Struthio camelus: one gene and its partners. The protein of the gene in region 1 purifies or fractionates together with the protein of each later gene. This does not show direct contact. Links are inferred from orthologs where the notes say so. Each region holds a gene or a part of one and is shown in the gene's direction. Other genes may lie near its edges.

The links.
Region 2: the proteins of SIK2 (region 1) and PPP2R2A purify together in Homo sapiens (affinity purification with mass spectrometry; 3 studies listed by BioGRID and IntAct, with this or other methods). This does not show direct contact. The link is inferred for Struthio camelus from reciprocal best matches to the Homo sapiens genes SIK2 and PPP2R2A.
Region 3: the proteins of SIK2 (region 1) and PPP2R2C purify together in Homo sapiens (affinity purification with mass spectrometry; 3 studies listed by BioGRID and IntAct, counting the BioPlex papers as one, with this or other methods). This does not show direct contact. The link is inferred for Struthio camelus from reciprocal best matches to the Homo sapiens genes SIK2 and PPP2R2C.

What each region holds. Positions count from the first base shown.
Region 1 is NC_090963.1:2,871,706-2,881,529, reverse strand, and holds the start of SIK2 (serine/threonine-protein kinase SIK2), read left to right. Parts: upstream 1-5,818; 5' UTR 5,819-5,908; coding exon 5,909-6,058; intron 6,059-7,989; exon of another isoform or gene 7,990-8,055; intron 8,056-9,824. UniProt on the Homo sapiens protein: Serine/threonine-protein kinase that plays a role in many biological processes such as fatty acid oxidation, autophagy, immune response or glucose metabolism.
Region 2 is NC_090968.1:4,341,018-4,350,342, reverse strand, and holds the start of PPP2R2A (serine/threonine-protein phosphatase 2A 55 kDa regulatory subunit B alpha isoform), read left to right. Parts: upstream 1-5,700; 5' UTR 5,701-5,715; coding exon 5,716-5,752; intron 5,753-6,425; coding exon 6,426-6,500; intron 6,501-8,766; exon of another isoform or gene 8,767-8,865; coding exon of another isoform or gene 8,866-8,904; intron 8,905-9,325. UniProt on the Homo sapiens protein: Substrate-recognition subunit of protein phosphatase 2A (PP2A) that plays a key role in cell cycle by controlling mitosis entry and exit. Involved in chromosome clustering during late mitosis by mediating dephosphorylation of MKI67.
Region 3 is NC_090945.1:74,039,873-74,049,961, reverse strand, and holds the start of PPP2R2C (protein phosphatase 2, regulatory subunit B, gamma), read left to right. Parts: upstream 1-6,227; 5' UTR 6,228-6,374; coding exon 6,375-6,390; intron 6,391-6,638; coding exon 6,639-6,719; intron 6,720-10,089. Other genes in the region: MAN2B2 (epididymis-specific alpha-mannosidase), read right to left, coding at 3,427-3,594. UniProt on the Homo sapiens protein: The B regulatory subunit might modulate substrate selectivity and catalytic activity, and might also direct the localization of the catalytic enzyme to a particular subcellular compartment.

The sequences.
Region 1 (9,824 bases):
GAACTTTTATCCGTAGATCTCAAGCATGCATAGGACTAAATTTCTCAGTGTCCTTCAGTTCAGAATTATTTAGTGGAGTCTTAAGCAATCTTAAAGATTTCCATGTAACTAAGTGCTCTCTCAGCTAAACACCACTCTTTAAGAGCCTGCCCTAGTGTGGGCAGGGAAGACTTGCACTGATCTCTTTTTGCTTATGGAACACTTTTGTGAATATTTTCCTTGTTTAGGCTACCTTGTGCACACAGTGATGGACAGGAAGGGTAATGTGGCAGCGATGTGCTGGGCTCCTGCTGGGTGAGGTTTGTCTGAAGGCGTAAAGGGCATAACACAGCTGTGTGAAAGGAGCAGGTTGAGGCAATCTTGATACTATGAAATGATTACTGAAGCCAGAATTCTTCAAAATATTTTGTTAAAATTATGAAGAATTGTATCTACTTTATCCTGCTTTATAATGTTTAAAAAATTACAAGAATTTTCTGAACTCCAGGGTTTGGATCTATCTGTTTTCTGTTTTTTTTTTTTTTTTTTCCTCCTCTTTGATCGGTGACCAGGAAATGGAGAGAGGATGACTGAGTGAATTAAGCAAGCCAAGCAGGAATGCTAATAACTACTCACCTATTGCTCTGCAGGTGAATGTTTCCAGCTCCAGGAGGGCCGTGTTCTGCTGCCAAACAGGTCTGGCTGTGAAACATCTGAAATTAATTTAGCTCTTGACAGAGTTCACACAAAGTTTGCTCTTCATTGCACAGAAATCAATATGAGAAAGAAGCAAACTAATTTGCATAAGCCACCAGGAAGCCAAGATCTGCCAAAGGCTTTAGCAGGAGGTGTTTTATGTGGGACTGAAACAACAGAAGTGAGTGCAGGACGTGGCTATGAGTGTGCTCTGCCAGTATAAATACGAAGGAAGCCGGTTCTGGATCTCTGTACTATTACTGTACATTGCAAACATGGAAATACTTCAGTTGCCACAGCTGCTTCTCCCTTCCTGAACGTTACAGGCAAGGTTGTGCACAGTGGCTCTGTCCTGCATACCTGCAGGATGACACAGTGTCTGCTGATCTTGCAGTGTTCCTCCAGCAGTCAGTGGAGCAGGATTGGGCCTTGAAACTGCAACACTGCAAAAAGTCTTCTGCCTGTTTTGAAAGCAGCACCCAGTTAACATCCATGTCTTCTAACTTTTTTCTTCTTCTCTTGGCATCTCTTAAGCATTGAGAAACAGGAAATGAGAGCGGAAAGCTCAACACGCAGAGCTTAGGCGTGCAAACGTTTAAAGCCCAATTCTGGTAGCTATAGAAGTGTCCTGATACTTGGAACTGATGACTTTACCTGACCTCAGTAAGTCAGCTGCATTGTTCAGCATTTCTGGAAGTCAGGTCAGTTAGCTATAGGGATAAATTTAAATAGTGGTTAATGAACTAAGGTTTCATACGTAAGTGACCCAAAATAGTGCTGCTTTGGTGGTAGGCTGGATAATGCTGGTCTGTGATTTTTTTTTTCTTTTTTTTCCACACAACTTTAACTTCATAGGCTGTTTGATTTAAATTCTTTGAATGAGAGTTAATGTTCGAGTCTCCAATCACAGTCACACTTTTCTCAAGAGACTTCTCTAATTGACTTAGATTAGGAAGGTAGGTAGAAGTATTTGAATGTACTATCACAAGATCTCCGTTCTAAGTAAATTCATTGTGGGGAAAAAAGGTTCCGTTTCCTGTATAGCAAAGCCAGCTATATTGTGATTAGAAACAGAATTAAAGTTCTTGAAATGAGGGCAATTTAAATTCTTTGAGACTATCCGTGTGCCATAGCTGCCTCTCTGGGGAAATCTTGCAGGCCAACCTGACCACAGTCTTGTAAAAGGGGACAATCAGCGTGTGGAAGTAGATGGCTCAGAAGTTGGAGGAAACGCTAGGATTTGCATTTCCGAGTTTCAGCCTTTGCTCTGAATGCCTCCTAAAAACTGAGGAATTGAGTTGATTCTCCAATATTGGTCTCTTTCTGAAATGCACTTTGTATTTACTTCTTGAGAAAGTGCTTGGAAATTACGTTGCCTTTGAGTTACTGTGGACATTACATGGTGCTGTAAATTTTTTTGGCTTTTACTTCTCCCCATCAGGAACAACTTTGTCTTAATGTGTTAGGGAGCAGCTTGTAATAAATTGCACTTTCTGCAGCTTTTGTTGTTGTTAGTGGTTTAATCCCCTGTACACCCCAGTATTGGTAGCAAGGAAAATCAACACCAAAATTAAAGTATAAAACAAGTCTTGTGAGAACTGTTGGATGCCGCAGTACTTCCCATTTAGCACAGCAGCTTTTCTCACCGATTCCTTTGAGTGCTGCTCTTTTAAAATACGACTTTTTTTGTCTCAGCACATAGCTAATTAAATGAAGGTCAGTAAATGTGATGTGAATGGACTGTGCTCCAGTATGCATTGCAGATACAGAAACAGTTAGAAGGTAAGGAATGTCCTGTGTCTTCCAGGCCAAACTTGAGAGGCAACGCAAGCTGTTTGATATGGCTGTTTTCCACAGCTTCACCTTGGTCTTGCATTAAGCACCAAGAAGTGGCTCTTCCACTGAGTCCTTGTGGAGGTTGTTCTACAGTCTAACGTACTGCAATTTCACTGCCTCGTATCCGATATCTTCCACCAGGTCTCTCCCTAGAGAGAAGTCAGCACCTTAACCCCCTTTAGCATTGTGCCTTGTCCCCGTTTTACAGAAAGCAAAGATGACTTAGAGGTAATAGAACTTGCCAAAAGCTGTGTGACTCAGTGATGAGCAGGTGCTCGGATAAAGTAAGATTGCAAACCTTGAATCTAGCACTTCAGCTATTGATGGTAGTGCTAGATTTTAATGTGCCCTAGATGTTAGCAGCCTGTGGGATCAATCAGTGGTGTTATTTCAAGTTAAGGGAGGTGACCATGAAGAAGCTGATTTCCTCTTCAGTAGTTTGCCTGGTTTCTCTAATGCAGTATGACGTCTAAGGAGGATGTTGGTGGAAAGGATTGCTGGCATTAACTTAGCTCCTCTTCCCACTGTGTCTTTCCCTGTGGCCACGTAATTCATAATTGTACTCTATGCAGCTTCTCCCCTGATGCTCTGCTATGACCTAGTAAGGAGGTGGAAAGCGTTAGCATGATGTTATCTTTAGGATTTATCTCAGCTGGTTTATCCCTAGTGTGATTTCTAGGGCTGAATTCAGTAGTGAAAATACAAATTTAATTAGAATAGAAGTTAAAGAGAAAACAGTTCCCTTGCACATCCTGCTAAGGCTGTTTCATGGGAGATTGTAGTTTTTGCAGGATTCAACCTGCGAACTCGGGCAGATCCCCTAAACTGATCTTGCAGACCCACCTCCACCAGGTGTTCGACAAGCACTGCATAGTAAGGAAATAATGCTATTTTCTGGCTGTATTTCTACAGGTAGGTGGTTTTATTTCCTTGCTTTCCTTTGTATAGTCAGCCATTTTAACTTTTAAGGATAGTGTTTCATTAGGTGTGTAATCCTTATTGCAGATTTGTCTCAAACCTTTTTATCTCCCTCCCCCCCTACCCCCCAAATTTTCTGGACTTAAATCTTTCTGGGCAGACAAGCATGTGTGACTGCATTTATCTGTGTATAATGGACTTAGGTGTTACATGGGACAGGAAGGAAAAAGAAGGCAGATCAATTGTTCTCTGATATCTCAGTGTAATAAAGCATGACAGTTGCAGTATTAGGTACAGGGGTGTTGACCACAAGAGGGCATGTGTGCTCCACACTTGATTCCATTTGCCTGTTAGTTGAAAGTTTGCCTTGAAAAACTCCTCTGCGTTCTAAGAAAACACCAGCGTTTGAGAGAAGCAGTTGGATGACCTTCTTCAAAGCATAGTAGAAGCCATCAATGGCCATGAAGTCTGCACAAGGAATGTTCTTGTGATCGCAGTTCCTTTAGCAGTGTTGGGCAGTATTTATTTTTTTTACCCTAAACTTCTAGGCCAAAATGGGCGTTATACAGTGCTCCACAAGGAAGTTTTTGGAAATGAAGCTTTCTGTTGAAAGCACAGTATCTGGCTTAATGGATTTTTGGAAGAATTTGGTGGGACTTTACATGCGTGAAAGCAGGCAGGAAGCAACAGAATTTTACATTGCTACAGCTTTTATAACAGCAACTGAGAACAGGTGTTGAGCAATATTTTGCACAATGCAGGGATTTAAAAGAAGAAAAAGTTACTTTTAACATGCTGCGCTTGCATCATGCTTAAGTTACTGTTTGGCCTATGTGAAACAGGAGTGAAGTCTCATAAGTAGTGGATGAGGATGACACCATTTTCTATCCAAGTGAGATTATGGTGAGCTTGCTCATACACCTGTCAATCCTAGAAAAGGGTGAATGTCTGACTAACTCAACTCATGGCTTAGTCATTGCCAGAACTTCTTAAGGGGATAAATAGAGTGGCAACAGCACAGTTGTTACCCATAGCAGTGTCAGCTTAAAATGTCATCCTGTAGAGGAATCTCAAACTGCAAGTGCAGTGCAGGGCATGTGTTAACTTTATTCACTCAGGTCTTCAGTTGCCTAGTCAGAAGGATGATTACTTTATAGCAGCTGACAAATTTAAACAACCTTCCACAAGTATGAGGCAGCTTTAAATACAAAACTCCTATGTAAAGGGAAGATGTGAGACAGATGTTTAGTTCCTTGCATTCATGAACTTTTTCCTTTTGTGGCCAAGCGGTGGTCTCATTAGTGTTTGCGTCCGTGGCGCTCTGGAATACGGAGCGGGCCTGTAACTGCTGCTGAATGTGCAGCTGACTCGACAGACACGTGTGTGCCCTCATGCCACCAGCTCTGGGACATGCCTTGCTCAGTCAGCAGCACTGCAGGAAACCTCCGGAGGGCGATTCCTGTTACCTGGATGTCAGGTGGTGCCGATCTCCCAGGGTGAGGTGGGTCAGTCAGAGGGGAGCAAGGAGGGACAAGTGAGAACGGGAGGAGGGCAGATTGCTGAAAAGAGCATGGCGATTTTAGAAGCCAACATAACTGAATTACAAGCAGTGAAGTGAACTAGGTGGACTGAGTAGTGGAAGGGAAATTAGGTGTAAGAGGCCTTCCTCTTCACACACTACCACTGTCAGCTGTGTAACCATTTTATGCTGAAGGGGCCTCACTGCTTTGACATCTAAGTGATGGGAAATGCTGATGGCTATTTTGATATGTACAGGCCGATTACATTAAGGGCATCCTTCTGATGTAGGACGACTGTGGTGGCCTTGAAATGCTGTTCTCCGCAAGGGGAAGGGCATTTCCCTCCGGAAGCCGAGGATCTGGTCCTGGCTGGTGGTGATGGCCCCCAGGCCTTAGAGCTGTTCTTGAGGCTGTGGAGCAGGCTGGGAGCTGAGATGCTGATGCAGTGCTGGAGTGGCACCTGGGGGGGGGGGGGGGCTCCTGCGGTGGAGGAGCACCGGGGGGAGCCCCTTGGTTTTTTGTGGGTGGTGCTAATGTAGCTGACTCAGCCCTGCTGTGCACACAGGTGCGAGGGGCCTAGGCTTGAGGGCATGGGGGGGGGGGGGCCCTCTCCCTGGCCCCAGGGCTGTGACGGTGGAGGAGGCGGCTCCTTACATCTTGGTGGAGGGAGGTAGCTCGGGGTAGCGGGGGGTGCGGTGCCTTCTCTCCTTTCCTCTCCCCCTCCGCCCGGCCTTGCCGCGCTGCGGGGGCCGCCGGGGAGGGGAGGCCCGGCGGCCGCCCCGCCGCGGTGGCTCCGGTTGCCATGGCGAGGCCCCGCCCCCGCTGACGCGCGCGGTGACGCGCGGTTGGTGGAGGAGGGCGGAGGGGGCGGGGCGGCGCGGCTCCAGGGCGCCGCAGACGGACGCGAGCCGCTGCCGCCGCCGCTCGCGTCGGAGCCGCCGCCGCCCCCCGCGCCCAGCATGGTAATGGCCGAGCCCCGGCGGCCCCCCCCGCTGCTGCCCCGCGGGCCCGGGCCCGTCCGCGTCGGTTTCTACGACATCGAGGGCACGCTGGGCAAGGGCAACTTCGCCGTGGTCAAGCTGGCGCGGCACCGCATCACGCGCAGCGAGGTGAGGCGGGGAGATGCGAGGCGGCGGGGGCCGCGGCCGCCCCCTGCCCCGGCGCCGCCCGGCCGCCGCCGGGCCTCGCGCGCGCGCCGACCGTTGGGACCGTTGGAAGGGGGGGGGGGGGAAGCTCGCTCGGGCTCTCCTCGGGGCTTCGAGCTGTCTGTTGGGCTCGGCTCGGGGTATGGATGGGCCTTAGCGCTGTGGGGCTCGGCTCAGGGTTTCTCTGGGCGGGGGGGGGGGGGTGTTCACCTTTGGGGCTGTGAGGCTCGGCTCGGGGTGTGGGGTGGCCATGGGGCTTTGGGGGAGGGGGTGTTCGCCTTTGGGGCTGTGAGGCTCGGCTCAGGGTTTGGGGTTTTACAGAGGCGTAAGCTGGGTGGCTCAGCTGGGGGGGAGGTCGGCAGGCGCCCTTGCACGGCTTTGTCCCTTCTGGCGCAGGAACCTTCTCCTTTAGGAGAAGGTGTGAGGAGGGGGATTTTACTTGAAGTGCTTTGCTGTGAGCAGGCTTTGAAGGACGAATCATGCCTGCTTATTCTTATTTTTGGTTTTCCTGGCAAGGGCAGCAGTAACGCCTCTGAGCCCAGCTGTAGCAGGGTGTCCCTGTGGCTCCAGCCCCCCTCCCTGTGGCAGTGCACTTGCTGGTTTGTGGCTGTGACAGTAAGGATGCTGGGGGCTGTGTGTGAGGGGGTGAACAGCTGTTGGCATAGTTCATGAGGCACGCTGATCAGATAATGGTAACTTGCTTGCTGCTGATAAGGGAGGCTAAGATCTTGGCTTGTGGCTGGTTTGTTGTCCTGCATACATTAGTTTCCTCACTTGGCTAGTACTTTTAGATGAGCCGTAGTAGTCTGTTTTAGTGAAGGAACTATTTTTTATATATATATCTTGCTATGAGTCCTCCCAGTAAGACATGCTACAAATGAACCAAATCCAACCATTTTAGTTTTTCGCTGTTTTTGCTTGCCCCAAATGTTACATAGTGAGTACCAGCCTTGAAACTGTTAACCTTTCATGCTTCACCTAAAGCTATAATTATTGCAGTCTATTTGGGTAATATGTAGTCAGGTGCACTCTAAAAACTGCCATCTAATGGGAGTAATGGCTTTGAACGATCAGCTTCCTCTCATGTTTTCTTCTGAAATACTAGGGGTGAGCTCTTTGTCAGTCTCTGTGAAGATCTTTTTTGCTCTTTACTGAAGAGCTTTATGTGGTGCTTATACCAGTCAAAAATAAGGAAATTGGCTAATCAAAGTGTTGTCCAAAATACAAAGTAAACAAATTGAAAAAAACCTGACATTAAGCAGTTGCTGTAGTCTTCTCATATGACAGACTCATTCCTCACAAGAATGAAAACTGCCATGAGCTTGGGCTTTGGTTAAAGAAAACAAACCTCCAATGCTGATGTTGTTCTGGCTGTGCTGTGGTGGATGGGCTTTGCATCCTAAACATTAAATTAGAGCCATATTTCTCAAGTTGCACAATAAACTGCTAATCACTTTAAATCTTTCTCTTTTGTTACTGAAGAGCAAGTTAAGACCTTTGACGATTACCTGAAGGTGTTCTGTTCTCAAGTTGGATGCTATATGCCAAATTTCTAAGTATTCCACTTGAAAGCAGTAGGTTGTCCTTTTTAGTGGTGTTCTGTCTTATATATGGGCTTTATGATGAGGAGGAATACTTCAGTCTTGACCTTGTTATTTTAAGAAGTCTTTGTTTGGTATTGTTCAAAATAATGAGTATATAGAAAATTAGGAGCTTAACAGCTCTCTCATTCTGGTACGATTCTTCCACCTGTACCCTCAGAAATTCTTAAATTCCAGTACATTGTCATCAGTACAAGTTTGAGTTCTGTTAACCGAGTTTATCTTTTATGAGAAGCCTTGTGTACAGTGTCTAATCTGGAGCCTTTTTATTTCTGCATTATTTTTACAGTAAACTTGCCTATGAGACTTCTGTGTCAAACTTCACTTTTCAGTACAGTTACATTGCTGTGAATTTTTGCGGTAAGAGATGCAAGAATATTTATTTGGAAGTTAATTGCTTAGTTGCTCGAAGTATTGACGTGATCTTTGAGGAAGAGGAACCCTGTTCAGATCACTTTTAGTAACGTCAAGAGAAAGTAATTTTAACGGAATACTGCTTTGAATAAGCACCCCAAGTTTGGGACAACCTCACTTAATTTAATGGTAGCTGACTACGCACATAAGAGAGCGGGAGTCCCGCTTAATAACATGTCTAGATGGAAGACATTTGATTCTGAGACTTGTTCTAAACTGTTGGATATTAAGTTTGGCTTAAATTTCTTAAGTTGCTGCTTTCTTGTGTTTACTTATATGCTGCACATGACTGCCTCTATTAAACTTGCTATGGAAGAATATTTAGCTTATCAGCTGCTGAAACTAATGCCATCTCACCAATGAGTCTGTAGTACATGAAGATCTGTGCTGTGTTTCTGTTGAGACATGCTCAGAGAAGTCCTTTCAAAGGGACTGTTTCCTTCTCTGAGTTTCTCCTGACTCTCCCTGTTCAAACTCGTTATGCTATGAATTTGTTTTGGGGCTTTTTTACAGACTTTGCAAGTTATGCTGGTATACCAGTATTAGCCAGTAAGCGTCAAATTTGAAAAGATAGGATCTTATTACCTTGCAAGCTTAGCATTTATGGAGTATGTACAGAATCCACCTTACATATAAAAACCTGCATATTAGAATTGAAAATTGTAATATTAACTGAAAACACTGAGTACAGTTGCCATGAAACTGTTAAAGAAGATTATGGATGAAAGTAAAATGATACCAGACCTGAAGCAAAAGATACCCTTCTACTACCTTCTCTTTTGTGTATGCAAAGAAACTCTGAAATTGTAAGTGAAACACTGTGTTAATATAGCAGTAAAATAGTCAACCGGAAAGAAACATGAAAATACAGTCCATGACCCTCTTCAACGACAGTCCATACAAGGTGCCTCAAAAGGGGGCTGCACGGTTGAATGTGACCTTTGCTTTGCTTGTTTGTGTGTTTGTTGCCATTAAGTTAATGACATGCTCTTTTCTGCCATGCTTGTTTATCAAGTTGCCAAGGAATCCTGTGATCTCAGGATATCATTTGCTAATGAAATGTGCAAATAAGCAAAATGCCTCTTTAGAAGGAGAAGAGGGAAAACTGCTTGCTGCTACAGACTCTCCAGATCTGTTGCAGGGGGTAGAGGAGGAAATGCCTCTCCGGAGGCAGAGAATGAGCAGAGCAGTCCCTTTTATCAGCCAACTCGCAGGTAGATCAGATTGGGTGTAATGCGAAACTGCACCCTGAGGGAGGTAATGTTTTTGTGAATCTGTGAGAGCCAAACACTGTGCTGTTCTAAATTGAACTCGCTCCAGATCAAAGTGGTGTGTGTTGATGCTGTTAATCTACTTTTGAGGTGCACTGGGTTAACAACTCAAATGAGAATTTCTCTAACCTGGATGAAACCTTAATTAAAGCTTACACTGACATGGACAAACTTCTTTTCAGAAAGAGCGATAAGAGAATTAAATGGATAACAGCAGAACTAAATGAAAGTTGAAAGCTGGAGTAGTTGAAGGATAGAAAAACTTTTTTTGCTTAACATTCATCTTAAACCTGCTGCCTGACAGTTTCAGTTCTCAGATGTGTCAGATTAGGGTAGTGCGAACTCCCTTTCCAGTACTCTAGGCCTTTAGCAAAAGAGGGAAGGAAGTACTATTCCTAACATTCTTGAATTAAAAAGGAATGATGTTCCAAAACATTTTTGCTG
Region 2 (9,325 bases), on another chromosome or scaffold:
AGGGTGGTGAAAAAGCCTCGGTTCCTGAAAGATGACATTGGATTTAAGCTCTGCTATTATAAGGGGAAGCCTCAATGAACTTTATGCTTTTGAGATGACATAAGCTACTTGTTTACCTCAATTAGTGAACTCTTTTTCCATAGGTTTGTTCAGTGATGAGTAGTTTAGGGTACTCAGTTACAGAGCCATTAGATGTTATTGCTAAATTATTTTGCTTGGGAAAGGGCTCTCTAGAAAATTGCTGGCCGTTGCACACTGAACTGAAAGTTATGTACCGTCCTTGTCTGGGTTTTCTTTTTTTTTTTTCTTTTACACCAGCGGTAATATTTATACTAAACTGCTCAGTGACTATTCAGGAGAAGATTAAATTTTAGCCCTCTTCTGAGCACTTACTCAATAGTTTAGATACTCAGGACTACTAGAAACTTAAATTTCAGTTTGCCCTTTCCAAATATAAGTCAGTGACTTCAGTGGCCCCTGCTCACTAGGGCACTTTCAAAACATGCTGTTGTAGTACTCAGGTTTAGGAGGGTGAGGCAGGACTGGAAATGCTTAAACCTTTGTTTATACCTCAGTTATGGCTGAATTTCTCTGGTCCCTGGAAAGGGAGATTTTTGGGACGATACAAGTGGCATCTGCTCAAAGTGAACTCGGGTCAAAGGAAGCTTGACTGACAGAAAAAGCAAATGAAAGCTCCATATGTCCGCAGAAGACTTCACGGTATGCTAGTTGGCTCACTGCAAATAACATAAAGCTCCTACCTGCTCAAGGGAGGTCGGCACTGGCGTAACTCACAGAGGTTAGATGGGTTGGGACTTGCACCAAATGCAGTTCACCCTGTGAGTCTGCCTGTCTAAAATTCATTACAGGTTCAGGGTCTGTCTGACCTTTTGTTAAGCATGAGCTTCCATCTGCCAGTATTAAGACATGATTCAGCACTGTTTTGATAATGGTTCTTAATTAAGTGGCTGCATACATAGAGATAATTATGTGAAATTAAGAACAGGGAAACACAGACCAAATACTAGCAAACCTTTTCTAAGTGTAAAGCCTGCTAGGCTGTGAAATGTTCTTTCCCGAAAAGCAATGGAAATCTCTGAGACACTTCAAGCTAGAGAGTATGAAGTGCAGAAGAGTATGCTGTAGGGAATTACATTGCACTGATGTTAACCTTCATGTGGCCTAAGACAGCTCAGCTATTACTAATTTCTAGTGATAATTTTGGTGATAATTACTCCCTTTATTTCTAAACTGAATTGTTGTAATTCATTATAATCTTGTCTAACAGGTCAAATTACTAGGAAACTAAGGCAGATACAAAATGAGTTGCTGATAGAGTTCTTTCTTGGGCCTTAATCGTTTGATCAGTGATTCAACACGAATATATTTTTATTGGCTACCAGTTGCATTTCACATTTTGCTTTAGGTTGTTCTGACTTCTACAGCTCCTGTTTTGCGCTGCTGTGAATGGATCACTCACTAGCCTTTTAACAAATCCATCGGAAATGCTTTTCTGTTATTTTAATCTCCTGGAGATTCTCCTTAGTCTAAGTTGAAGCGTCTATAGAGCAAGAATTAGTGATAAAAACATAATTGGGATAGATAAATGTTTAGTAAAGCTTTGTGCTTTGGTGGTTGTATATAAATTTAACATACTACAGTTACTATCTCCCCAGAGCACCTGAACAAATGCTTAAAATATGGTTAAATCAAAGGGAGATAAGTATGTGCTTACAAACTTTTTAAAATCAGAGCTGCAAAATACACTCTTGCTAATTTGCACTAACCATTAGTACTAGTGTGAATACTTGCATTGTCTGAATTAACAAGCAAGTGAACACCCAGGCAAAGATCGGGACTCCCAAGATGTTTCACTAATTACCATGGCTGTGATTTAATGATAAGTATTTATTATACTTCTATAGCTCAGCTTGTTCAAAACAAAAACCTGAAATGTTGGAATTATGAGCCTTCATTCTGGCTCCATGGTATTAAATCTTTTTTAAGAGGGATTTGGTTCTAATTATAAGGTATATACTAAAGCTTCATTAATTTGCATTACAGAACTAATTGTAGGCTTTTTTTGGCAACAGAAGTTCTTGAAACAATGTTAATTCTACTAGGAGGGCCAAATTCTGGAGTAATAGCACTGAAGGCAGTGGATTAATTTCCCTGTCTGCAAATTTTCCTGCTAAAAGGTTGTGGGACGCTTCTGTTTAGGGCTGAGAAGGATGCTCTGAAGGTATCCTGAAACAAGAAGACTACCAGCTTTTATTTAGAATTTGAGATTGACTGAATTTGGCCAAAAACTTGTAGGATTGAGTGCGTATGGTCCTGAGCTTCGGGAAATGTGCACCTGGCTGATAAGGGAAGGCCATTAACAATGTAGTGATCAAAAAACAGCCTACCTTGATTATGAATATTTTCAAACTTTCAGTGTATTTGCTTTTAGATTTCTAGATTGCTCTCAAAATGGACTAAGCAAAATACTTGGTTTCAGATATTCCCCAATTTAGAGGAGTTGCCATTTTTTTAGACTGTCCCATTATGTTTTGAGTGCTTTTCAAACAATACTGTATCATCATTTCCAAGAACTATTTTATTCACACATGCAGTCCCTTGAGGAACATAGAGATAAAGCTGCATTTGTCCAAAGTGGCCTTTAATCTGGGGCAGTTCTGGGTTTCCGGTATTTACCCTCCGACAGGGGGAGGCTGACTGTATCGGTGTGTTCATACAGAGGCGTTCAGTTCCCACAGCGCTGTGTTTTGCGCTGTACTCGACCAGGAATTGAATGGTCTTGCATTTTAAGAAAAGCCTCTTAGGTGTTTTGAGCTAGAAATGCAAAATCACTGTACGTGATGACTTAGGAAGACCTGTCTGAAGGCACGTTGCGAGTTTGTGGCTGTGCTGGGTTTGCAGTATGAGCTCATGAATCTCAAAGTGAAACCTGGATCAGCAAGCCCTACCCCGCCTGAGAAGAAAGAAAACGTTTGCGCAAACGCCTCTGAAGGGAAACTGATGACTTCCACAAGATCCTAAATAGATTGCACTGAATCAATTCGCTGAGTCCTGCATGTTAACTGCCGCTGAGACTTCAACCGGGACCCGTTGAGCTAAAAAGGCGCCTTCTTCCCTTCGGAGCCAGCAGGAGTTGTGCCAAGCGGGCTCGGCTGGAAGCCTTCCTTTGTAGATCTCGGTGGCTGTCAGCGTGAAAGGTGGATGGAGGCTAAAAATGGCTCCGAAGCACGGCTGGGTGCGCGCAGGGAATAGCAATGAGAGCGACCAAGATGCGCCGGGGTTCTCGAGCGAAACCGGAGACCGAGCGGGCGGACAAAATGGAAAGCGTCCAAGAGGGCGGGAAAGGCGCCTCGAAGAGGTGGTGAGGCCGCGGCGGAGGCCCCGCTGGGTGAGGAAATGTCACGAGAAGGAAGCAAGGGAGTGGATGCGGGGGGGGGGGGGAAGCCGAGCGCTACGAGGGAGATCCAGTGGAAGAGTAAAACGCAGGGCGGCCTGGAAAGCACCCCGGCGAGCAGGTAGGCGACGGCAACCGGGGCCTGCCGGGGCAGCGCCTCCCCCCCGCCGCCGCCGCCGCTGGAGGCCGCGCCGCGCCGCCCTGCCCTGCCCTACGGGGGGCGGCGAGGGACCCGCCGCCCCGCCCCCTCCGGAGCGCCGCCCTCTCTGCCGGGTGACGTCACCCCCAGCTCGGCCGGCGCCATTTTGAAAGTGGAGCCGTTGGGGGGGGAGGGGGGGCCGGAGCGAGGCGCGGAGCGGGGGCAGCCCGAGGAAGCGGAGCCGGCCGCACCCCCCGCCGCCGCCATCCGCCGCCATCCGCCCCCCGCCGCCGCCCCCCGCCCGGCACCGGCGGCGCCGCCGCGTAGCGCCGAGACCGCCCGACCCGCCGCGGCCGCTATCACGAGCCCAACATGGCAGGTAAGGGGAGGCTGCCCCCGCGGGGCACCGGCCCCTGCCGCCGCCGCCGCCGCCGCCGGGCGGGGGGCGCAGGTGAGGCTGCGGCAGCGGCCGGGCTGCCGGCGGCGCCGCCTCCCGCCGCGGCTCGCCCGGTTCCTGGGCGGCTCGGGCTGCGCCTGGCGCCCTGCTCTGCCGCCCCCCGCCGCGGCCGCCGGCTGCCGGCCGGCTCGCTCGCTGCCCTCGCCCCGCGTTCCCAGTCCGCCTCGCCTGCGCGCTCCGGGTTTTGTTTTTTTTTTCCTTCCCCCCTCCACCCTTCTCCTGGGAAATCTGCCTTCCTCCCACCCATCCCTCCTTCCTTTTTCTCCCTTATTGCAGAAAAAAAAAAATTTGCATGGAAGAAGCAAGGTGGAGGGGCTGGGATGGGGGGAGTGGTGTATTTTGAAGTTCAGCGTGCAGCAGGCTTGCAGGCAGGGTGGGTCTTTTGCCATATATATATAAATATATATATATAATAGTTTTTCTGAATCTGTAAGTGCTCTGGTATGTTGCATTTCTTTCCCATGGAGTTAGTGAGGACTGGGCAGAGGCGCTGCTGTGCACGGAAGGGTGTTTCAGGGTGCAGACGTGCTCGTGTCGAGAGTACAATTGCAGCCTTCTGTAGGGCGCAGCTTTCAAATCATCTGCAAATGAGTGCAAAATGGGGCACAGGATGTACTTGGATAATACAAGTCTTCCTCTGTTTTCTTTCTCATTCCTTTCTGTGCTTGTTCCCCGTTTTGCATCCTGCTTTATTTTGCATCCTGGAGTGCTCTTGGTAGGGTAGAAGAGCGTATGCATGAGGTATCTCTTCCGTCTTACTTTTCGTTGTAATTTCCTCCCTTGAAAATGTATTCATCCCCCTCCTCTGCAAATGAGTTGCCTTTTTGGTGCTTTGCATTTGGAGGAGCAAGCATGGGGGCTCTGGCAGGTTGATGCTTTGCCTTGTCCCCCTACACCCATGCCTATGCTCCACCCTCTTTTTTTGTTTTAGTCAAAAAAAATGCAGATTTAAATCAAGTAAATCGTATAAAAAATGAAATTTTGATCTTTTGTAGAAAGAGCAGTGATTTCTCTTGTAAGCTGTCCCCTTTAAATGCTTCCATGGTGTCAGCTGCTAAATGACAAATGAAGAGAGTAGGGAGGGGAAGGAGAATAGGTTGCACAAGTTCAGGGGAATGAGAGAGAAATGTGTGGTATACCTTTCCAACGTATCTGCATAAAGCTTTTTGACATCTCTTGCATAGCTAGATGCTTGTACTTCCCTTCACCTTGTCAGGTTATATAGTTTGCTTGTCTATAATCCTTCAGAAAAACTAAGGCAAGCGAAAAATGCAAGCCACAGTCTGTATTCCAGTGCTTCTCTTGCTCTTCTGTGGCATTTGCTCTTCTGTGGAAAGATTATTTTGTGGCTTCTGATTTCCATGTCTTTTAACACTTTTTTCCCCCTTAGCTTAGCGTAGAAGAGGGAAGAAGTATCTTTTGTGTTCTTTGTTGCCCAAAAGTGATGATAAACTTCTGGATTAATGTGTAAATGCCATCTGTTGCTCAGCCTCTTTGCATTGTGTGTCGAGAAAAAGTTCCATTTTGACAGGCGGTTTCAAAGAGGAAAAAAAAAAAAGGCAAGTCCATTTCAGTCTCTTCCTGTATGTACTCAGCCCAGCAGTGATTTGCTCAGAATGCAATGCAAAAGAAATGGGTGGTGGTTTTTTTTGTGTGTTTTGGTGGCAGGGTTCAAATGAATCGCTGCCTTCCGCAGAGGCAGCAATGTTCCTGAAGTTTTCTCTTCGATCCGTTTTCTATGGTAGTAGAACTTGTTAACATGAGATTGCTCGTTTGCTTTGCTGCTCAATTTGCTGCTTTTTTCCCCTCCTCTTTTAAAGGCTGATAATTACTTTCAGTTCTTCTGTGAAGAGACTTTAAATTGTGGAAATTGTGGTAACTTTTTTCTTTAGCCTTTAGTACATAGGTCCAGTTAAATATTTTTGTTAAAGAAGAAAATGAATAACACAATTGGCTTATATTAAAAGATTAGAATGTTCTGAAAAATGTAGAGCTGTTCTGGCAGTTACTGTTTAAGTTGTTTGTGTTTCTCTCTATAGAGTTCTCCTCTCTAAAGCAGGAAGAAGCTTCGTGTGAAATAGGATGTTGATGCACTTGTGTTTTTAATGCAAAGTTTAAGTTAGCACCAGCAGTGTAGCATAGTTTTGCAAGCTTTCGGTGCATGAGGCTTTTATCGTTCCTACTGCTTATGCTGTTTTTGACAAATGTTGCATTGGCCATTGGCAAGTGACTAATGACAAAAACAATATCTGTAAAGGAAAAAGGTGGGGAGGGGCAATTTGTAATTGTGCCGACAGCACAGCTGAGGAAGTAGGTGTGTACAGTGTTGCCTGAACATTTCAATTGGTAACTAGCAGTGTGTTCTCTGTGTCGCTGCAGGGGTCTCATTTTTTTTTTTTTTGATTGTCTTTTAGGAGCTGGAGGAGGAAATGACATTCAGTGGTGTTTTTCTCAGGTGAAAGGCGCTGTAGATGATGATGTAGCAGAAGGTAAGAACAATTTTTATTACTGCTAATTTTTTTTCTGACTTCCTTATCACTACTCCTTAGGCAGGAAGATTTGAATGCGATCTTGCTAAAATATCTCAGTTCTATTGTGTGTAATTTTAGCAAAGTAGACAGACAGTTAATGTACATTCAGATGCCTTAAGCCAGGATCAAAATCTGATGGTTTGTGAGTATTGTTTTGCACACTTTTAGCAGGGCTGAATTCCAGCTTCCTGAGTATTTTGCTGGAAATGTTTGTTTCCAGAATTATTGATCGAATTTTCCTGTCACTCAGCTTTTGGTTTGTGTTTTTTTCCCAATCTGCAAAATGGGGAATGTGATACTCGCATTCCACAGGGAGGTGTTGTGAGAATTAATTAATGTTTGTACTCTTTGAAGATCTAAGTGTTAGATAAAGATCAAGTAATTTTCCCAATCTTTCTAGCTTCCATTAACCAGGAGAGGATGAAATCTGAATATTTCTGCATGCTTACTCTTTTTAAAAAAAAATAAGGTTCTGTGTCGGAGGAGATGCTGGAAACTGCCGAAAAAGTTTTGTAAGCTAGGGATCCTAATGCTGGCAGTGACAAATGTCATCTTATACTAAGATGGCTGCCTCTGATTGTGACTGCAAAAATTCTACTTGTTTTTATTTATTTATTTTTTTACTTGGCTCAAGCATCATTAGAGGAGTTGTACTTTCCCTCTATATTGCTCTGATGGCTGTGCTAGAGAAAAAAATTTTCTCTGATCTTTCTTTGGGAAAGTCCCACTGACTTCTAAATTTCTTTGGCCGTAAGGACCTGTTTGCACAACATAGCCTCTAAGATCATGAGTTAAAGTTTTTCTTTTGCAAGCAATGGGCTTTGTCACCTGCAATTCTGGAGAGGGTGAGGATTATAGCTATCCTGAATGCTTGTACAGACAAGCGAGATGTATGTTGTATTTGGAAAAGCAGTAGCTAGAGTTCCCATTATTTTCACATTTGACATGTGGTTCAGTTAACTTCTAAAGGCCGAAAACTCAATATAAATGTAAGCGTCTTGTTTTTGTTTATGAGCTTCAGCATGTGGAAAATGATGCACTTTCAAAGACTGTCATTCACAAATTGAAAGATGGATTTTTTTGGAAGCAAGCAAGCTGTAACTTTTTTTTAAGGATGGATTAATCTTAAATTGTTCAAGAAGTATATTTTAAAGCTTGAACTCAAAACTACTATTAAATGTAGTATATATTTTTCCCTGCCAGATTTTAAATTGTCATTTTTATTTTAATTGTATATCAAACTAAGTCCTTAAGTACAAAAATTGAGGAAATTGTGGCCAGTGCTTGCAAATAATTCTTCATTGAAATAGACATGCGACATGTGACATGCGCATAATAGTGATGGGTGTTTTTACATATATGTTTGTGATATAGGGATCTGAAAATCCAGTTGGGAAATGTCTGTCCTGAACACCATTAGCTGTTCTGAAGTATTGTAGATTTGAAAGAAGACTTGCTAGCCTTATGCTTTCTGACACAGTTTAGCATCTGCACTATATATTGGTGGAGTCATAGTGGGTGGAGTTCAGGGAAGCCTTCACTGTGAGTGAATTAAGTAGTTTCAGTTTCAGCAAGCCAGTCGCAGGATGGCTTACAAAAAAGGAAGAATGTCCATTTTTCATCATATGGGAGACGTAGACTTCTGACTTTGCCACCCAAGGAACAAAGAAAAGTCTGATTTCATAATCAGCTGTGATTAACTTAGGATGAGTGCTAAGGCACAACCCCAAAAGCATGACATTTTGCAATTTAAATACCTAGAACCTGGTGTGAGGTCCCTAAAAGGGTGTTATGCTTGGTTGTAATGAATTTGTTGAGCTGGAATTTTCTCCTTTTCCTGTGTGTTTGGCTCCCACAACGCATACTAGAAACTGTTGAGAACCAGCTGTCTAAGTAAAAATGCATCTTTTAGCTTCCATGAGATCCTTAGAATTCCTGTTATGCTTTATAATGTCTCCCTGTAATACTGTTGAAATGGTTGATAAATGTATCAAGCTGAGACTTTTATACTTTTCCTTTTATTAGCTATATTTCTGGTTTTAAGGTTCTCTTTATGGAAATGAAGCCTTTTGTGGGGTTTTGTTTACTTTTTACAAAATTGGAATAGCAGTTATGCATGCTTCTGGTCCTCCTCCTTCAAAATGCCCAAGGACAAGTTCACAGTGGCTCTAAGTCTAGTCTGACCTTTTTTCTCCCTGCCTTTCTGTCTTCTTTCTTGTGGCAGGCACCATGGTGAAAACAAAAGAAAATCCTGCTGTCTGAAACTTACGTGATTCTCTTAACTGCTGTGGTCTGCAAGCTAACAAGTGTGGACTCTAATCCGATGTCTGTGACTACTGAGGATAATGCCAATTTATGTAGGGTAGTACCTAGGGTGTGGATTGGGGGGTTTTAAGTGGTTGGAGAGCTCAAATTAAAAAACTGTGGAATACTGAAACTTGACTAAAAACAAGGTGAAGAAAACAAGGCTGAAAGAGAAGGGAGAGGCATGTTTCATTTTCTGTCTTCCTATTAGTAATACAATGTTGCAATATTTATATTGGAAATTCTTCTTTGCATAAAAACAGTCTCAGTTAAACTCAAGCTATCTTCAGATTTACCACGCTGATTAAGCTTTACGGGTAAACTTTTTCTTCCTCTAAATCTAGCTTATTGGTTTATTTTGTACCTCTGCATAAACTAAACTAGTATATGTCAGCCAAGAAAATGGCATAATTTAATTGCATTAATCAATATAATGTAAAACCAGTAATCTCTCTGCAATGTTGCCTATAATACAGGCC
Region 3 (10,089 bases), on another chromosome or scaffold:
GAAAGAGGTATTTTGCATATAATAAATGGAGCATTTCAAATAGTCATTGGGCTTGAGGAGAAAGATCCAAAACTCAAGTTTGTCGCGAACTTTCTTTGTATACGTGGAAAGACTGAGTTCTATAAGCCTATAGCTACAGCCTGTGAGCCCATCTGCTCCAAAGTATATCCTCTGATGAGGGACCTCACCAGAGAGGTGGGAACAAGTTCCTCTGTCGCTCACTGCTTAACTTAAAATCATTAATGCCATTAATAAGACTTTGCACCAATATGGATGAAAAACGCATGCTTTGTTCTTCCATTTCTGATCTTCTGCTGGGCTGATGTTTTGAATCACTACAATTGTTTTCGCAGAGTATGACTCTATGCTGTGGGTGTGCATTGCTGGTGTAATCAAGTCATACATAAACTGTAAATTATACTATTATAGCCCTAGAAGTTCCAGTCATGAAAAATAACTCCATTTTACTTGATGTTTTAGGACAGAGTAAAACAACACTAGCAAAGAGCTCTTAGAATGAATTTGACTTTCGATGTAGGCTCATCCGCTGCGAGAACCATGTATTTATTCTATACAGTTTCTAAAACAACTTTGATTCCAGAATGAGGCCTAAGGATTTTACTGGAATGCAAACATGACTGCTGTATCTATCAAACAACCTATCATATGGTTATAATGTATCATATGGTATGAAATGAAAAACATGTTAAAGTTGTGTACAGAACAGTATTTCGGGTACACTTTTCTTCACCAGAGCAACTTCTGCTTGGCCAGATCCATTCTTTCACCCTTCCCTTAAAAGGGATATACCACGACTACAGGCAAGAGCATTTATCCTACGATTTCCTGCAATGTTTGTGCTTTCTTGTAGCAAAGGTTCTGCACATATCTATAACACAGTTATCTGAAGGTTCTTTACCAGAGCAACTGCTGCTTGGCCAGATCCATTCTGACCAAGAGCCACGCACGCAGTAAAGTAAAACGGACAGCCCACAGCCAAGTTAGCCAACGCACGCCACCACAATACACGCACACATCTGAAGGTGATTAAGACACAGAACCCTCATCCACCTTATATATCACTGCATAAGAGTTTTTAACAAGTGAATCTATAGCTTTAATTCAGGCAAATCTCCTGTACGAAAGGAAATCTTGAAATAAGAACGGAAGGATGTGATCCAAATCAGAAGCGTACTTCCCTCCCTTTATTTTCCCTAACTGAAATCAAGTTAGCTTTGTAAAAAATGCTGAAGTGCCATTAAAAAAGGGAAAGCATTTGACTGTAGGAGGAACGGCTTACAATACTTCATTGTCTAAATAATCGCTGGTTCAACGACTTCTCCATCGGTCTTTAAGGATTTTTTAAAAATCAAGGTTACGATTAGATGTTTAATGCAATATGACATTTTAACTACGGGAATAGCTTTTAAGTTTTACTAATGTTAAACAGTGACACTCAAACACCTGCTAAGGAATTTTAATTTCTCATTGCTGACTGGCCATACAATATACCCAATATCCATAACATTTACAATGATTACATCATCTGACTCAATTTAATTTTTAATTGTTATTTTAAGTAGCGCATTGTATTTGAAATGCTGAACAAGGACTTCTCAGACTTAATACAATACTAAAGTATTCTGCATAATTGCTTACAAACTTTTTGCTAAATAATTTATTGAAAATATTTTCTCCACTAGGAAATGAAGACAGGCATTTAAATCTCTGAACCTAAGAGAACATCTAGGAACGTCTTGGTAAGAGTCAGCCAGCAAAACTTTATTATGTCTCAAACCTGAACTACACTGGATCTAAGTAGTAGGGCATTATCCAGTCCTAAAGAGTTATGAAAATTCGTAAACCTCATTGGTGTGGGTGGGAATTGAAAATAATTGTTGTCATAAACCAGGATACTTGCAAGCACAAGCAGGAATTTTCTAATTCATAACTTCTATCAGCTAATGAGATGCTCTGAAACAGTGAGCAGCGGCCCACTATAAACAACCAGATAAGACTTCACTTATTTGAACGTGGGACTTGGACTTCTTATTAGATGTAAAAGATTGAATTTTACTTTTCATGCCACACTGTAGCTAACAGTAGGATGTGGTCAAATATTCATCCAGATGCCACATCTTATGTGAGTTCTGGTATCACTGCTATTACCAGAAGGCAATGGGTAGCTTGCTTTTAGGAAAAAAGATTTTGCTGCATATCTAATATTGGAATTCTCCATCAATACTATAATTTCTGGTACCCAGTCATGCTTGTTGTACTGACATAATAAATGAAATGCTTATTTCTCACATTATGAATGCAGATATTTAATTAAAAAAGAGAAAATCAGTATCTTGTCAGTCACGAGCAAGACCTAATAACTAAGCAAACTAAAACTAAAGGAGTTTAGGACCGCATTAGTAACCCTCAGAGAGTTACCCTCAGGTTTCACTTCACTAGAGCAGCGTTTGAAGGGACGCATAGATGGCCTCTGTGGTTTTTGACCAAAGGAATCACTGATACTTGTGATTTAATACCAGAGGAAACGAGGCTTTGAGCAACTGTCTTCTCCAAAAAAATGATAATTACATGTTTCATTTCCCTTGGAGGAAGTCTTCAGCCATTAGCTGACCAAAACCACATTTATTCTGTGTTCTCTTACACGATTTCTGAATGGGGTTTTCCAATACTAAGAAGAAATTCACTAATCCTGTTTAAAAAAAAGGCAAGACAAAAACACAGGCCCAACAGAGATTCTCCAGTAAACCACTAGCAGAGTAACTATAAAAAACAAACAAACCCCCCGATGCCCTACCACACCTAAAACACCTGATGCCATACTACAGCAGCAAACAAAGTACCCACAGCATCTTTTTTTGCATGAGCTCCTAAAGAAACTCATGCTCAGGAAGGAGGACACAGGATTTAGACTAAGGGATGTGAAAGGCATTAACGACCCATCTGACTCATTCTGCGCTGCACCCCATTCGTACCGCAAGAGCTATTCTGCGGCCACGGCAGCGGGCGCGGGGATCCCACTCCCCGCTAAGCGAGCGTCACCAGCCCTTACGCGTCCTCGGGCTTTCTGCTTAGCAGCAGCAGCAGGACAGAGCAAAAACACCTGGGGGAGGAAAAAACCAAAAGTCTGCTGAATAACCGAGGCGCAGCTCCACAGGAAGCTGAAGGTTTCTCCTCCGGGAGCTGCACCAGGCGCACGCCGCTGAGCGCGGGCACAAGCGGAAGTAAAATCCGCGCGTCTCAGGCGAGCGGCGCCCGCTCCGGCCGCACCTGCGCGCCCGCGGCCGGCTGAACGCGCTGCGGTCTCGGGGGCGCCTGCCCAGCGCTGACGTGCTTCGCCGCCGCACCGAGAGGCCGCCTCTCCCTCTCCCCGCCCTGCCCTGGCAGCCAGGCCGCCGCGGGCCCCACCTGCACCGTGTAGACCCAGCCGACGTCCATGTGGCTGTGGGCCACCACGAAGGCCCGCAGCGGCCCGCGGCCGGCAGCCCGCGGCACCGGGCCGAAGAGCAGCAGCAGCAGGAGGAGGAGGAGGAGGAGGAGGAGGAGGAGGAGGAGGAGGAGCGGTGGCGGGCGCATGGCGACTCCCAGCCGGGCTCCCCTCAGGCGGCGGCGGCGGCGCCCTTCCGCGTCCCGCCGGCCCCGCCTCCCCCGCGGCCGGGGCGGAGACACCGGGGGGCGGGAAAGGAGCCGAAGCAGCGGGATGGGGGTGAAGGGGGGGGCGAGGCGGCCTCCCGCGAGGCCAGGGGGCCGCGGCCGGTGGAGCCGCCCGCCAGGGGCTGCTGGCGCGCCTCGCTGGGGCTGTTTTTCGTCTAAAACTAGGTTGCGCGGAGGGGGGCTGAGTTCTGCAGCCTTGGACGACTGACAATCCTTACGATTCTTGTTCATAGTGGATTTTTTTTTTTTTAATTTGTGGAAACTCTTCTCAATGGAACACGAGCTTTTTGTGTTGGTAGGTGGTTTGTTCGAGCCAGATTTTTGCCGCTGAGTTTTAAAGTTAAATTTTATTCTGTGCTGTCGACCTTCTCCTGATCCCATTTTGGTTTTACCGCTGTTAGCAAGGGCTGGCCCTGTACTGAGAGTCAAAAAGTGTCCGCAGAAAGCCCTGCTGTAGAGGCAAAACCCCCTTAAGTTCAGAAACGTTACATGGGTAGTTTAGCCCCAACGGTCTCCCCAGAAGTTTGGACTGTGGTTGTACCACCAGTTTGTCCAGTGTATCGTTGTGATGTTGAAGACCAATAATTCTTGTTAAACTTCAGTTCTTCAAAATACACAGCAGCGTAAGTCAACTACCTTGCTTAAATTCTAGTTTGAGTAAATGATATGCATCTAACAAACAATATTATAACTGAAACGTGCTGCGTTACATGCCAAACTGCGTGACTTTTTTTTTTATTTTGGAAGTTTGTCAATGTCTGAAGTCCAGAATGAAAAATGTGATGTAGGACAGTATTACTGAGTGGAATGGCATAAAACTGCCTCTTTTTAAAAAAATAAATCTGAATAAATAAATCTGAACAGATTCTCCTGGAGCGAGGCCCTTGTTTGCTAATTAGCATGGCGGACTATAGAAAGATTTCCTCCAAAAAGAAGAGACTGAAACTGGGACATTAACATTACTTTTATTCGTGATAATGCTGTGTCATGAAGAGCAATCAAGGTCTGTAGGTATGTCTTAGAGGTAGCATCTCTGCAAGCAGCTGGATAAAGCTTTACTTGTAACACAGCTCCATGGACCCCCCCCCCAATCATCAGCTTAAACCTTTTCAGTTCGAAGAAAACCAGCGCACCTCCTGCAAACGTATGGCTCAGGGATGTGTATATATATATATATGTCTATGTATATGTACGCACATTGTCTGAACTGATGTTCTTTCACCTCAGAAGGCGTTATGGTCTTTGTTATTTAGGTGAAGTTCCCAGGAAGCCCTAAGTGTTGGCATTTCGCTGTGTTTCTAAAAGTAGCTGAGAATGTTTGCACAACGTTACTGCCATTTGAAGCCCAATTCCTTCAGAGTATACAGTTGTCCTCCCTCTTTCACAAAGCCTTAACTCTTTACGCTGTCCGGCAGCGGAGACGAGCGCAGGTATTTGAAGAGAATACTTGCATTAGGGAAACGAGAGTCAAATTGCCCACAGTTTATGAAAGTGCATACAACTCTAATGGCATCAGGAGGGTCTTTGCTTGCTGCAAAAAGGGATGAATATAGGCATGTCGGGTGGAATTGGTGCCTAGTGTTACCCCACCCTTACACACCGTTTGGTAAATAGCAAAAAGCTAGGTGAATGATCCAGAATAACTGCGGTGCCGTGACAGCTGCCTGGCTTGGTATTTTATTGTGTTGGCTCTTCATTTTTTAGGTATGGCTCGATTATAGTTGTCCTGTATTATGCTCTTAAAACCTTCTCATTTGCCCGTACAAAGTGTGTTTGCTCTCTTTGATATGAGCTATGCTACGCGGAGGCCTCTGGCACAACCACTGCAGAAAGAGGGAAGATGGAGGCAGGACGCTGCCAGCTGTGAGCTGAGGACGCACAAGGTTTCTGCTGGAGAAAACGCCAACAACACCTGCAAGCGAGCAGAACAACGGAGGTACCTTTACGTTTCCCTCCTGTGGTGTTTGTGGGGTGGACGTGGGTAGGAATAGATACGTTTATAAATTAAGATCACTCTAGCTTACGGTTTCCATGTTTTAAAATTTGCCACCCCCCTAGAAATTTTCCGGTGGAGGCACAGGCCGCTGCATAGAGCGCTTCGGGTCCCTCGATAGCAGGTTTGCTTTCGTAGTTACTCTTCAAGCATGCCGTGAAGACGGCGTGTGGATCCACAGGGCTCCACAGGCCGGGAGACGAACGCGAACACGACCCTTCGGCCTGGCGGCGATGTCAGCGCGTGGAAAACCCGACAACTCGCGCGGTGTTGGCGGCCTTTACCCGCGGGCCGGGCGGCCTGGCCTAGGGACGTCGGGGAACCGCGGGACGCAGAGGAGCGAACGCAGCTGCGGAGGCCGCAGGCCCCGCCGGCGGACTGACGTTGAAACGCCAACGCGCCGGGGCCCAGAGGTGCGGGCCGGGGCCGCTCGCACCTGTTGGGGCCGCGGCGGCGCCGGGCGCGGCGCGTCCTGGGCCAAGGCCGCGGCGGCGCCGCCTCCGCCGGGAGCTCCGGGCGGAGCCTCCCCCCCTTCCCGTGCTCCCTCCCCCGGCCCCCCCGCGCCCCGAGGCAGCGCCGGCTGCCTGCGCCGCCGCTCCGCTGGGAGAAGGAGGAGAAGGAGGTGGCGGCGGCGCCCCGAGCTACCGGCGCTGGGAGCAAAGCAAATCGCAGTTTCAGAGCGCAGGGCGCCTTTCGGCGGGCACCGCACATGTCCCAAAAGCAGGGTACTCGGCGGCGCTCCCCCTTCCCCCAGCCCTCCGCGCTCCCCGCGTCCCTCCGTCCCCTGCTCTGCCCCTTCGCCTCTCCTCCCCGCTCGCTGCTCCGTCCCCCGGCTCTTCCTGCCGCTGCCGGCTCCTTTTCCCCGTCGCTCCCCGTGGCCCCCGCGGCCTGCCCTGCTCGGGCCGGGCCGGGCCGGGCCGCGGGGTGCCGCCGGCCCGGCCGACACTGACGGCGGTTTCCCTCCTGTGCCTAGCTGGCGGCCCCCCGGGCGAGGGCGCGGTGGACTGGTGCCTCTACCAGCTCAACGGAGCGGCCGAGCTGGAGGTGTCGGAAGGTGAGTGCGGGGCGGCGCCAGGCGGCTGGCCGGCTCCGGGCCGGCAGGGCAGGGGGGCGGGCGGCCCCCAGCCGCCGCGGAGGTGCGTGTGCTGGGCCGGGCACCGGGGGGGGGGTCGCGGCTGGTTTCGCAGCTCGGGGCCTGGGTGGCATCAGCCCCCTCGTCCGTGGCATCGGTGGCTGCTGGTGTGAGTGAGGCTCCGCTTGTATCTGCTGTAAAAAAAAAAAAAATAATTTTTTTTGGGTCCTCTCTTAACTTCGAAGAGAGAGGTAACGTGGAAAGTTTTATTTTTCAACGTTCTGCAGTCAGACAAGGACCTACCTTCGGGTGCCGGGGCAAGAAAGTTTCCCCTCCTTCTCCAAACGATGTATAGTTTTGAATATGCACAGGATTTAAACGTGGAGGTCAACTTATGTTTTGCTGCTACGTCCTTTACCTAGTGTGCAGTGAGCCTAGCTCAAGGTCTCCACTGATGTTGTTTTCAGCGAGTTAGGTGCAGCCGACCTCATCCTGATGTTTCAGTCTGCTGGTATTACGTGTTTCTGTGGGGACCGCGTTTGCTCTTTGTAAGGGCTTAAAATGTGTTACAAGTTCAAGCTTGGCGTTAGGAACAACTTTCCATTAGTGAGGGAGGTGAAGCACCCTGATAGATAGGGTTCCAGTTAGACACGAGGAAAAACTTTCCAGCGGTAAAGTACTAGATAGATGGGTTAGACAGACAGAAAATCTCCTTCCCTACAGATTTTTAAGGATGGTTTCACAAACGTGGGTTGGGAATGACGCAGTTGTAGGTGTTGCCTTGGGGCAGGTAGGTAGACTGCTGGATGAAATCTCTTTCAGCTTTATTATTATTTATTTATTATTATGTAGGATGTGAAGTTTTGCGTTTTGTCTTGTGTTTTGCTTTTTGGTAATGCGGGTTAAACCCCGATATATTAATAATACACAAAACCTTGGTCAAGGCTTTGGACTAAGTTTAATTTTTCCCCCAAATATATGCTGTGGAGGTTTAGGTCTCAGGATACGTTTGCAAGTGTGTGTGATTACACACACATGCATGCTAAAGGATTACTCAAAATATGTTGTGATTTAGTGCCCAGATGACTTTTTTTCCCCCGAAACTGCATACCAAGCCAGATGTGATGACGACAGGTGGGGGTGGAAATTACATCCATGTGAGGGAGTGTAATGAGTGAGTGACAGCATTTTTTCAGGCATCATAGAATGTTGAAAACAAGTTTTAGGTTGGCGTTGCCTTTTATTTAAAGATTTGAGTGAGTGGGATATGCTTCTTAACCTTCTTTGTCTGGGTAAATATCAGTGTTTCAACCCTAGTTTGAGACTATAATGTTTTCTTTCCAATAGATGTTGTATTCCTTTGATTTATTGGGTCATCTTTTGTCACATGACAACATTAACCATAGTTTTTTAAAATTAATTTGCTAACCTTGACTTCAGTTTTCTTTAACACTGACAATTTATGGATGTCCAGTTTTATCCCATGCCTTAAATGAAACGCTTGTGTTTTCTATTCTTTACTCAGCCTGGGGATATGTGAATTTAAGAGAACAGGAAACAGTCTGAAGCAGCACAATTTGGTCACACAAGCTATAGAATCAAAACTATCTGCGGGTAGTAAACCCCATTGAACGTCAGTAGGCTTACATTTGAAATGCATTTTGTTCTTCCTCTTTTCCGTTTTCCAGAAAGCATGCTGTCTATTAAATGCCTCTAATATCTAGGAACATGTACAGCAATATAATCTGTGCACTTTGCAGAAGTGAAAATCAACTTTTAAAAGAAAGTGATATGATAGCAGGTGACTTGACCACTTGCATGCCAGACAGTGCCCTAGATAAAGTCCAGACTTCTTCCTTCCCTGAATTTTTCCTTTAAAATAACTTAAATAACACAGACCCAAATAGGAGCTTTAGCTTAAAATTGACTGTTTCTATGACTTTCAGTGGAGAATTTTTCTGTCATTATCCTAGTTCTTTTTATTTTAAAGAAAGGCCACAACCTTTGTGATTGCAGCTGTGTTGGTTAGTACCACTTAACTAATGGAGAGAAGGATTAATTCATCTATATTAAATGCTACTGTGTGTTTGTCTGTGTACATATATATCTATACAGGTAAACGTCTACGCATTTATATTCTAAATTCATGAGCCGTCTAGCTACCTCTTGCTTTTTTTGCTTTTGAATGCATGCAATGGCCTTGTGGTACTTTATCAGTTAGACTCCAGAATTGTGTTCAGCAACGCTTCCATGTTAGACTAGGAAGAAAAATTAGTCTTTTACCAAAAATAGATATGTTAGATGAAAAACATTCATTTACATAACAGAAAAGCAAAATTGCATATTTAAAATGCAAGGAAAATAGAGCATAGTAAGTAAAGCATAACAATCAAAGCCAGATAATCATGTTTGATTGAGTCTTGTTGCCTTGAAACAAAATCCTATTTCAAATATTGCTACTTCTGTAATTCACATCTAAGTGCAAAATATATTTTATTCATGCTAAGGATCTCCAAGCACTTTGCTCATGGTAAGTGCACCCTTAGAAAAGATGCATGAAGAACGATATTAGTGTATCCAGTTATAGGCTAGCAAGACAAAATACAGAAGTTAGGGAGGTGAATGTCTGCTGTTGAGCAATTAGTAATTGAGACTTCTGAAAAGTCAAATCTTGTATCATTTGCCCAAACTGACTGTTGGACTGTTGACAGTCCATTACGTTCCAGACCCTTTGCTCAGGTCGCATTAAATTCTTAAAAACTGTGTGCAAGTTACAGCATATTTGAAACATTCAAAGCTGTGAATTCTAAGCTGTCTGTTCTCATACAGATAGTGTTGCATTCAGTAATGGTAATTTGCTTGATGAGAAGACTGACCTCAAAAATCATCTTGTTAGTTTTCAGTCTTAAAGTTAACTCCTCGGAGACTTGAAATTGGTTTATTTTTCACCCATTTTGTAATTTTATGCTCTGGAATGGCCTGGAAGCTCAGTCAACGTTCGGTGCCTTGTGAATCATGTGCTACGAACTTTCCTGTTATTTGCCATACACTGCTCTAACCTTCTCTTTTCTTTCTGAGTAATTTGAAGACTAGCGATCTAGTCGTGTATTGAGGAGATGAACGGATAATACACCGTTTTTTGTTTTAAAGGTACATTTGGATACTGTACTGTTTGAAAGAACCAGGCGACACGTGGGATTTGATGAATTTGAATTTAACCACAGTCAGGTTTACATGCAATACCTTTTTGTTTACTGTAGCTTTCGCTCAAAGAAAGAAGTCTGGGTTTGATTCAATACTACCCCTTAAAGTGTTGCACCAATTCCATGGAAAGCAGTGGGACTGCGCAACA